2 linked regions of the Arabidopsis thaliana genome follow. The protein of the gene in region 2 interacts with the protein of the main gene of each other region in a pairwise test. Each region holds a gene or a part of one and is shown on either strand. Other genes may lie near its edges.

Evidence for each region. Proteins that work in one complex are often made in the same cells at the same time.
Region 1: the proteins of AT1G08230 (region 2) and AT4G18220 interact in a protein complementation assay, tested with the Arabidopsis thaliana proteins (one large-scale study listed by BioGRID).

Annotation. Positions count from the first base shown.
Region 1 is NC_003075.7:10,077,063-10,080,887, reverse strand, and holds AT4G18220 (Drug/metabolite transporter superfamily protein), read right to left. Parts: upstream 2,251-3,825; 5' UTR 2,161-2,250; coding exon of another isoform or gene 2,121-2,160; coding exon 2,090-2,120; coding exon of another isoform or gene 2,044-2,089; intron 1,921-2,043; coding exon 779-1,920; 3' UTR 526-778; downstream 1-525. Other genes in the region: AT4G18230 (UDP-N-acetylglucosamine transferase subunit ALG14-like protein), read left to right, coding at 1-13, 191-367; PUP10 (purine permease 10), read right to left, coding at 3,393-3,825.
Region 2 is NC_003070.9:2,583,107-2,588,755, reverse strand, and holds AT1G08230 (Transmembrane amino acid transporter family protein), read left to right. Parts: upstream 1-1,786; 5' UTR 1,787-2,055; coding exon 2,056-2,143; exon of another isoform or gene 2,144-2,236; coding exon 2,237-2,467; exon of another isoform or gene 2,468-3,671; coding exon 3,672-3,956; intron 3,957-4,045; coding exon 4,046-4,176; intron 4,177-4,313; coding exon 4,314-4,553; intron 4,554-4,660; coding exon 4,661-5,041; 3' UTR 5,042-5,112; downstream 5,113-5,649. Other genes in the region: AT1G08220 (ATPase complex subunit), read left to right, coding at 5,468-5,632. UniProt on the Arabidopsis thaliana protein: High affinity gamma-aminobutyric acid (GABA) transporter probably involved in GABA uptake into cells.

The DNA.
Region 1 (3,825 bases), on a different chromosome or scaffold from region 2:
CTTTTTATTCAAGGTATACACACTTCGGAAATATTTTATCAAGATTCTTTGCAGTTCTTTCCTCTACATTTTGGATGACCTTGAATGGACTTGTGACCAAAAACAGAGGATGTGTTTTGTTTATTCTTAGTCATGGTTTCTCCATTACATCTAGAATTCCCATAAGTGCTTGTTTCATCTTGGGTTACAGGTGCTGGGAATTAGATGGTCATCAATCTTTTATGTTGAGAGTGTAGCAAGAGTGAAAAAGCTCTCATTAAGTGGATTGTTGCTTTACAAGTTGAGAATAGCTGATCAATTCTTTGTTCAATGGCCACAACTGCATAAGAAGTATCCTCGGGCTCACTATGTTGGGTGCCTGATGTAAGCTGATTGGAACTCTACTTACACCTAGATATATTACAAAAACTTAGAAAGCTACATAGTGTACACCTTCTCTTTATATGCAGGATTGAGTTTTAAACAATGAATTTTTGTAATCAGCTGTTTTGACTTTGTTAATGACTTAATGCTATTTCAGTGAGCTTATAATGTGATTTTGGTCATCTTATTCCAAACTAAACCAGAATCGTGCACAACATATATTTAAATAAAATATACTTCATGTTACAATGATGCACACATTTTCAGGCTGTGACTTCACTTGAGTCGCATCACAAATCTATTATGTTTATTTTTCATTGTAGGCTGCCTTCATACCAATAAAGAAAAGTAAGTTTACTTGATCAGCTCGCTTTAGTCTGTAAACTGTGTGTGCCACAATCTTTGAAGTAACAGCTTATTTTGATTGCTCACTTGACCCTTCTGCTTCTGGTCGGTCAGGGGATTCTGTTGTTGGTATTTCATTACTTTTCTTCAAGTTTGTTTCATCAAGATATTGTTGGTAGACATAGGATACGAAACCCCAAATAGCTAGAATCATAGAAATCACCTTTAAGCCGTTCATTTTGTCATGGAAAATGATGACAGCCAGGATAGGAACCACGGGGAGTCCCAAAGCGCTTATTGCATTTGAGAATAGGGAGGAAAGCTCGAAGATCAGTCCTGTGCAACCGATGGAGAATACCTGCCAGGTAACAGCTGTCCACACTAGGTTCATGACATAGGATACCTTCCCAAGTTTGTAGTTTTCCATTTCACTGCTCAAAGTTTTCCACTCGCTACTAGCAAAAAGCCCCACCACGCTAACACAACTGGCCACTAGACTCATGTAGATTATCATATTTATAACTTCTGAGAAAGTTTGCTTCTTTAAAACTTTACGAAAGGCTAGCTGTTGTAGGGATAAGAGTAGACCAAACCCAGCAGATGCACCAACGGTGCATACGAAACCTTTGACATACTCTCCTTTTGTAACTTTTTTGGAATCTGATTCCTCGTTATTAAATGCAAGGAGGGTGGAAGATATAGTGAGGAGGAAAAGAGAATTCAAAATGATAGGAGTAAGTTTTTGTGAGTTGAGTAAATAAGAGAAGAAAGCGGTGAAGGCTAACTGTGATGCACAGATCAGGGAAAGGGTAGAAACAGGTAGGTAAAGCAGTCCAATGGAATATAGGTAGCAAGCTGCTCCTACAAGAAGTCCAAGCACTATGTAAACTAATGCACGGTTCCTAAGTGAGGTTAATTTGCCATCTCTCTGAGTTGTTGTATGTGTTTTGACTGACAAGAGATGATATGGAAGTAGAATAGGAAAGCCTACAAGCTGAACTACCGTTGCTAGCCATTTGCTGTTTCCTCCATTTTCATAGTATAGTCTGCCCAGAATTGTAGCAACTGATTGGCCTGAAATGACAAAGAATGTATAGATAGCAACCCGGAGCCACCGTTTGTATGTATTAGAGTGAGATAGTTTTGTTTGGCTGCCACTGACCGAACTTCTTTCGTCTTGATCTGTTGGAATTGGTTCTTTTCCCTGCTGAACTGGTGAGTGATGGAAAATAACGCAAGAAATTAGATTATGACTTATTTGTTGTCACACATGAAAAATATTGATATATTGAATAATAAGATACCATAACCATATTTTTCGTCTTTTATTTGAAGATAAAAGACCAGTAGGTTCTCGAGGAACTGGTTTATGCTTACTCACCAATGACTTGTACTTCTTGATCCCCCTTCATAGTAGATGTGGAATCCCCCTCCTTCGAGATGGACAAGGAGGTACTAACAATGTTCTGAATAGATTCTAAGTATTAGGTATCTTATTATCAAATTGCTTGGTTACTAGTGCTACCAAGTGATTGCTTCTGTGATATGGGTGAGACACGCTGTAGCTATATATTTAGAGATTAGGAATCGGTCATCGTCTATGTTTTGATTGTACTTGTCCCCACATTCAGTAAATGCCAACTGTATATCTTCTCTTGCTGTGAATTTAATTTCTTTTGTCACTATTGTTGATCTAGAGATGAGTCGAGTCAAATCAAGAAGGAAATGATGTGTAGCCATTAGTCACTCAGTATTTTATACCTGTGTGACACATCAGCCATATGCATAGACACAAACTTAACACGCATGCACACAAGTTGTAAGATTGTATGACCGTCAGGATGTCTATTTTGAAAGTTATTCGTCTTCTTTAATTTCTTTGGCTTGTTCCGTCTGACTATCTTTCTCTTATGAGATCAGGCATGTGGATTAGAAACACATTTATGGAGATGATGTCTCGCTTCTCTTTTCAAAAGAAGACATTTGCACCACAATATTGGATGGCAGAGGAAGTCACTTTATTAACTGCTAAGATGGAGACTGCCAAATGGTATTATTTCTGGTCATTTACTTTTTGTACAAAGCTCTGTTTCACCAAGGATGTTTGGACCTGTCTGATTAATATTTCTTCTTTCTTCATTAGAAATGATTTTCTGTGTGTCCTTGTTTCACAATGTTTCAGGTAAAACTAGAAAGTGGAATAGTGCATTGAAATCTTTTTAAGTTATGGCTAAGGGTTAATTTTTATCAGGTGTCACACTCACAAAATTGACATGGTTTTTTATTAAATAAATATCTACTTTTATCAATCTGCCTACAGGTTCTTGTTACATACAGGGTTGAGTTACATTTAATCTTTAGCTGCTATGAACCCAAGTTTAAACGATGAACTTTTGTAATCAGCTGTTCTAAACTTAAGATTGTTGGTTCACTGAGATTACAATGTAATTTGGGTAATCGTAATTGAAACTAAACCAAAGTCATTCACTACTTATTTAAATGAAATCTACTTCCTGTTACAATGATGCAAAAAATTTCAAGCTGAGACTTTACATTAGTTGCATCAAAAATGTATTGTGTATTCTTCAATGTAGGATGCCTCCAGGCCGATAAGTAAAGTAAGTTTACTTAACTAGATTGATTGAGTCTGTAAACTGCGGGACAGCATCTTTCAAAATATCAGCTTATTTTGATTGCCAAGTTGACTCTTCTGCTTCTGGTGGGTCAGGGGATTCTGTTGTTGTGATTTCATGATTTTTCTTCAAGTTTTTGTCATCAAGATATTGTTGGTAGACATAGGAAGTGAAACCCCAAATAGCTAGGATCATAGAAATCACCTTTAACCCATTCATTTTGTCATGGAAAATGATTACAGCCAAGATAGGAACCACTGGGAGTCCCAAAACGCTTATTGCATTTGAGAATAGAGAGGAGAGCTCGAAGATCAGTCCTGTGCCACCGATGGAGAATACCTGCCAGGTAACAGCTGTCCACACTAGGTTCATAATGTAGGATACCTTCCCATGTTTGTAGTTATCCATTTCACTGCTCAAAGTTTTCCACTCACTGCTAGCAAAAAGCCCCACCACGCTAACACAACTGGCCACTAGACTCACG
Region 2 (5,649 bases):
TCAATCATTGTGGTTTGTATGATAATTTCGTGTTGTCCTATTGGACCTGGGGTTGATAAACCATCGAGTCCAACAAGAACACAACATATGTACATATGTTTGGTGTATGCAAAATGTTGTCTTTTCAAATTTTCAGAAAAGATTGTTAAAAAATATAAATGCGTCTGCCGGGAGTCGAACCCGGGTCTATTGCTTGGAAGGCAATTATCCTAACCGTTGGACTACAGACGCTTTTGCATATCGAGCAAATAAACTATATATACATATAAACTTTGGATGTTGAGGTTAAAGTGAGAAAGATTTTAAAATACATATATATAGATATAATCTATATATATATTTTTGCATCCATTTTGTGAAATAAATCCTGGAGTTGAAACTTATTTACAATGGCTGTCACTGGCTTTTAATTATTAGTTTTTTCAGCAATAAATTGATTAACAAACGAAAAACATTCCAAATATATTTCAATCCCATATATCACGCAGATTTTTCCAAAATTTGAACTAGATTTCAGCAACTATTTAAAACAAAAAATGTTTGACAACCCAAAAGACAATTGCAATCCCTTAAAATGAGCAAACGCAACTAAATACATTTCTTATCAATTCACTAAATCTTATTTCTCCAAAATTTGAACTAGATTTCGACAACTATTTAAAACAAAATTTTGTTTGACAAACTAAAACACAATCGCAATCCATAAAATATTTATTTTAATTATAAATTTCAACTAGCGGGGTACCGCGGTTTTTTTTTACAGGACGGGTTTGGCAGAACGGGTTTGGAAGGACGTTACTTAATAACAATTGTAAACTATAAAATAAAAATATTTTATAGATAGAGATAATTTGCAAAATTTTATATATACTAGTTTAAATAAAAAAAATTATCTCCGCGGTGTACCGCGGGTTAAAATCTAGTCTATATATACATTTTTGCAACTATTTTGTGAAATAAATCTTGTAGTTGAGAATTATTTACAATGATTGCCACTGGATTTTAATATTTGTTTTTGATAATTAGAAAAAAAATCTTCGAATTAAATATTTGACATTTAATAAATTTTTTTAAAATCTCTTTACATTAACTACACGATTGGTTACTAAAATAAAACTTTCAAAATATTTAATATCATTTAATTACTACAAAATTATCATTATTGATATTGTTTTTCTTCATGACTATTACAATTCAATTATAATCATCAAACCGCAGAGATATTTGATAACATTTAATTACTACAAAATTACAAAATATTTAGACAATGATTCATAAACATATGATAAAGAAGATCAACATTAATAAAATAAATGAGCTTTTTTTACGGGATGGGTTGGCGGGACGAGTTTGGCAGGACGAGTTTGGCAGGACGAGTTTGGCAGGACGAGTTTGGCAGGACGTTACTTAATAACAATTCTAAACTATAAAATAAAAATATTTTATAGATAGTTACATAGATTGTTACAAATTACAAACTTTTATATATACTAATTTTAAAATATAAATTGTCCCTACGGTATATCGCGGGTGAAAATCTAGTATTATTATTATTAACCGAAAGAAATTTCTTTCAATTTTAAAAATTCTGTCAGTTATAATGAAAATGTAAAACTGTAATAAGGATTTAATATACATATTAACATGTTATATTGATATGTTATTACTATTATCCAATTTGCTTTTTCTATTACTGTTTGTTGGATGTATTGAAAATTTAAGATTGTCTCCAAAATCGATTATTTTGAAATTATATATAAAAAATAAGATTTAAGAGATTTGTTTCCAAAATATTTTGAATTCTCCATTTATTTTCATATTCTATCATATATTTTTTAAAGAAAATAATCAAGATATACACATTTTATAACTTCATAAATCGTTTGACACAGAAGAGAATCGATAAACTATAAATCTGCAATGTTTAATATTATTACGAAATGCTTTTAGGTAAAAGATGATATGATAGCAAGTGTGTTTTTTGGACTTATAAAAGTGAGTAGCACCTAGTGGGGGGAGAGAGAGAGAAAGAGAAACAAAGAGAGCGATAAAGAGATGGGTGGAGAAGAGAGATCAGGAGATGGAGAAAAAAGAGGGGAAGAAGTAGTTGATGCTGGTTCTCTCTTCGTCCTTAAATCCAAAGGTACGTTTTATTAATTATGAAATCTATGAAACTTAACGTATACTATTATAACCCATTTGAAGAAGATATGATGATGATGATGATGGAAACTAGGGACATGGTGGCACTGCGGATTCCACTTGACGACGTCTATAGTGGCGCCTGCGCTACTGAGTCTACCGTACGCCTTCAAGTTCTTAGGATGGGCTGCCGGGATATCTTGTCTGGTCGGAGGAGCAGCCGTTACTTTCTACTCGTACACTCTTCTTTCTCTTACTCTCGAACACCACGCTTCTCTCGGCAACCGTTACCTCCGCTTCCGTGACATGGCTCATCACATCCTCAGTAATTCTTTTTCTTTTTACATTTGCTCTTTCCTATAATCAAAGCTGCGACAAATTTACCTTAAGAGAATTTCATTCAAGATTGAGATGTATAGTTGTACGTAGACATACGTGTCTATATGAACTTCTATACGTAATAATTGACACACGGCCGGTACCACTCCAATAATTTCATCCACGCAATAAAGGAAGGTACATGTCCTACGTAATAATTTGTTTGAACAAAAAAAAAAGTTAATTTTTGTGTGAAAACGCGAGATGGAATACTTATAATCACGTTTGCTATTACGAACAACGGAATTTTATAAGAAACCAAGTAAACATTGGTATGAGCTCAACTTTTGTTCGTGGTTGGTTAATATCACAATATATGTATTGTGTAAACCTATGATTTTTAAAAAAATACTTTTCTATACTGTTTGGTCTTGTTTCGAATTATAAGAAGAAAAAAAACTAATCATATGGAATTCATATTATAGTGAATTTTTTGATATGGCTTGCTTCGGTTCAATTTTGTTGGGATCCGGATCGAAGTGTTGACCATTCCACATTTCCACTCATACCACTGTTAAGTTTCAACTTTTTCATGCGTTAGATAGCTGTCTCTTTCCGTGTCTTGTTTCATTTTTGATGCAGAAATTTGTCTTTCAAAACTAATTTCAATTTTTAAAAATATGTGCGTGTCAGAAGAGTATTCATAAAACGTTGGTGCCGACCAAAATTTAATCTTATATAAGTAAAGTTGGATAGGTTCGATCTGCTTTCAAAAGTAGAATATTCTAAATTTCAGATCCTACATAGGATTCGATCCAAATTAGGATAGTTACGCTTTGACTGTCGACTACCAAGGAAATCCACATGTCAACAAAACTTTTAAGACAAAATTTAACGTATTTATCTATGCAAAAACTACAAAATGATGAGAAAAAATTGATTGAAATTTTTTATCTTACTGGATAATTCTGTTTTAGTAGCTAATATGAAACTAAATCCATTATGCATCGAATCATCGATTTGGATTTTAGTTTTCATTAGAGTACACCGCTAATCTGAAGGATTTATAGGAATTCGATTTAGCCCACTTTTTCGGGACTGTATACAACTTTAATTAGGATAAGGTAAAGTATAATACAGGTTCCGAATGTTTGATTAGTTAAGATCAGTTTGGTTTTCCTCTTAACAATTATTGGGGTGTGTTTGATAAGGTCCGAAATGGGGAAGGTACTACGTTGGACCAATACAAATGGCGGTGTGCTATGGTGTGGTTATTGCCAATGCGCTCTTGGGAGGGCAATGCCTAAAGGCAATGTACTTGGTAGTGCAGCCAAATGGGGAAATGAAACTCTTTGAGTTTGTGATTATTTTTGGATGCTTACTTTTGGTTTTGGCACAATTCCCATCCTTTCACTCTCTACGATACATCAACTCACTGTCTCTCCTCCTCTGCCTCCTCTACAGTGCTTCTGCCGCTGCTGCATCCATCTACATTGGTACTCTTCTTTACTAAACCACTTTACTCTTAATTCTTAAACCTTTTATATTGTTACATTTAAAAGGTGAGTTTTCTGTTAAATATCAGGAAAAGAACCAAATGCACCAGAGAAGGACTATACTATAGTTGGTGATCCAGAAACTAGAGTGTTTGGAATCTTTAATGCTATGGCTATTATTGCTACTACATACGGCAATGGCATTATACCTGAAATTCAGGTTTCATTTTGTTTCCATTCTTTGTTTAGAACACCACTTTAATATTTATTCATCAAAAACAAAAGGGCAGTCACATGATCGACTCAGTTATATATATAGAGTATTTGATATATGAATACTATCTTCTTGCAACGCAGGCAACAATATCGGCACCAGTGAAAGGAAAAATGATGAAAGGGTTGTGTATGTGTTACCTTGTAGTAATAATGACATTTTTCACAGTAGCCATCACAGGATATTGGGCATTCGGTAAAAAAGCCAATGGACTTATCTTCACCAATTTCTTAAATGCCGAGACAAACCATTACTTTGTCCCTACTTGGTTTATTTTTCTCGTCAATCTCTTCACTGTCCTTCAACTTTCGGCCGTTGCTGTGGTAAATACAATTTTTTTTTAACGTTTTTCTTTCACATATATACATTGTTATTATTTTATTTTATTTTCGTCACATATATACATTGTTACTAATTTTGAGTTATGCAGGTATACCTACAACCTATAAACGATATTTTGGAAAGTGTGATCAGCGATCCAACAAAGAAAGAATTCTCTATCCGCAATGTCATCCCTCGACTAGTTGTGCGTTCCCTCTTCGTCGTGATGGCTACAATCGTTGCGGCAATGCTTCCATTTTTTGGAGATGTAAACTCCTTGTTAGGCGCTTTCGGTTTTATACCTCTAGACTTCGTTCTTCCTGTAGTTTTCTTCAACTTTACTTTCAAGCCGTCTAAAAAAAGTTTCATTTTTTGGATCAACACTGTGATCGCCGTGGTTTTTTCGTGTTTAGGGGTGATTGCTATGGTAGCGGCGGTTAGACAGATTATAATAGATGCCAATACGTATAAGTTGTTTGCGGATGTATAAAAGAACATGCAAAGCAAAGTGAGATTGTTATTTCTATATTTAAGAATAAGCCTTTTTTTTTCTTAGAAAAATGTTTATGATTATAAATTTGGAAAATAATATTCAAATTTTGATAACAATATTTTTACATAATTTAAATTAATTAATTTTGAATGAAATAAATACAGATGAAATAAATATCTAGAAAATTGATAAATCACAGTACAGGCCTGGAATATGAGCATTTGAAACCCAACGCAAAACAATTCCTAGAAACGGAAGCCCAAAAGTTGGGGGCTATAATTAAACCGGATTTAAAAAATCGGTTTGATTGGTTACCCACACAAAAATCTGGTTCAGGATTTTAGACTCGTTTTCAATTTCAAGCGTGTTTGGTTCGCCGGCAGAGAGACATAACCAAACAAATAGGGTTTAAGCTCTACTAAAATGGCGACGACGTTGAATCGAATCCTGAAGCATAGATCAGTCTCTGCTCTCAACAAGCATCATCAAGGACTCTTCTCCCTCACTCGATACGAGAATCATGACTCTCTCCCTTCTCAAATGCCAGCTCTTCGATCAACCACCCGTTCTTTCCTCGATTTTTATAAGGTAGGAAATTCTGAGAA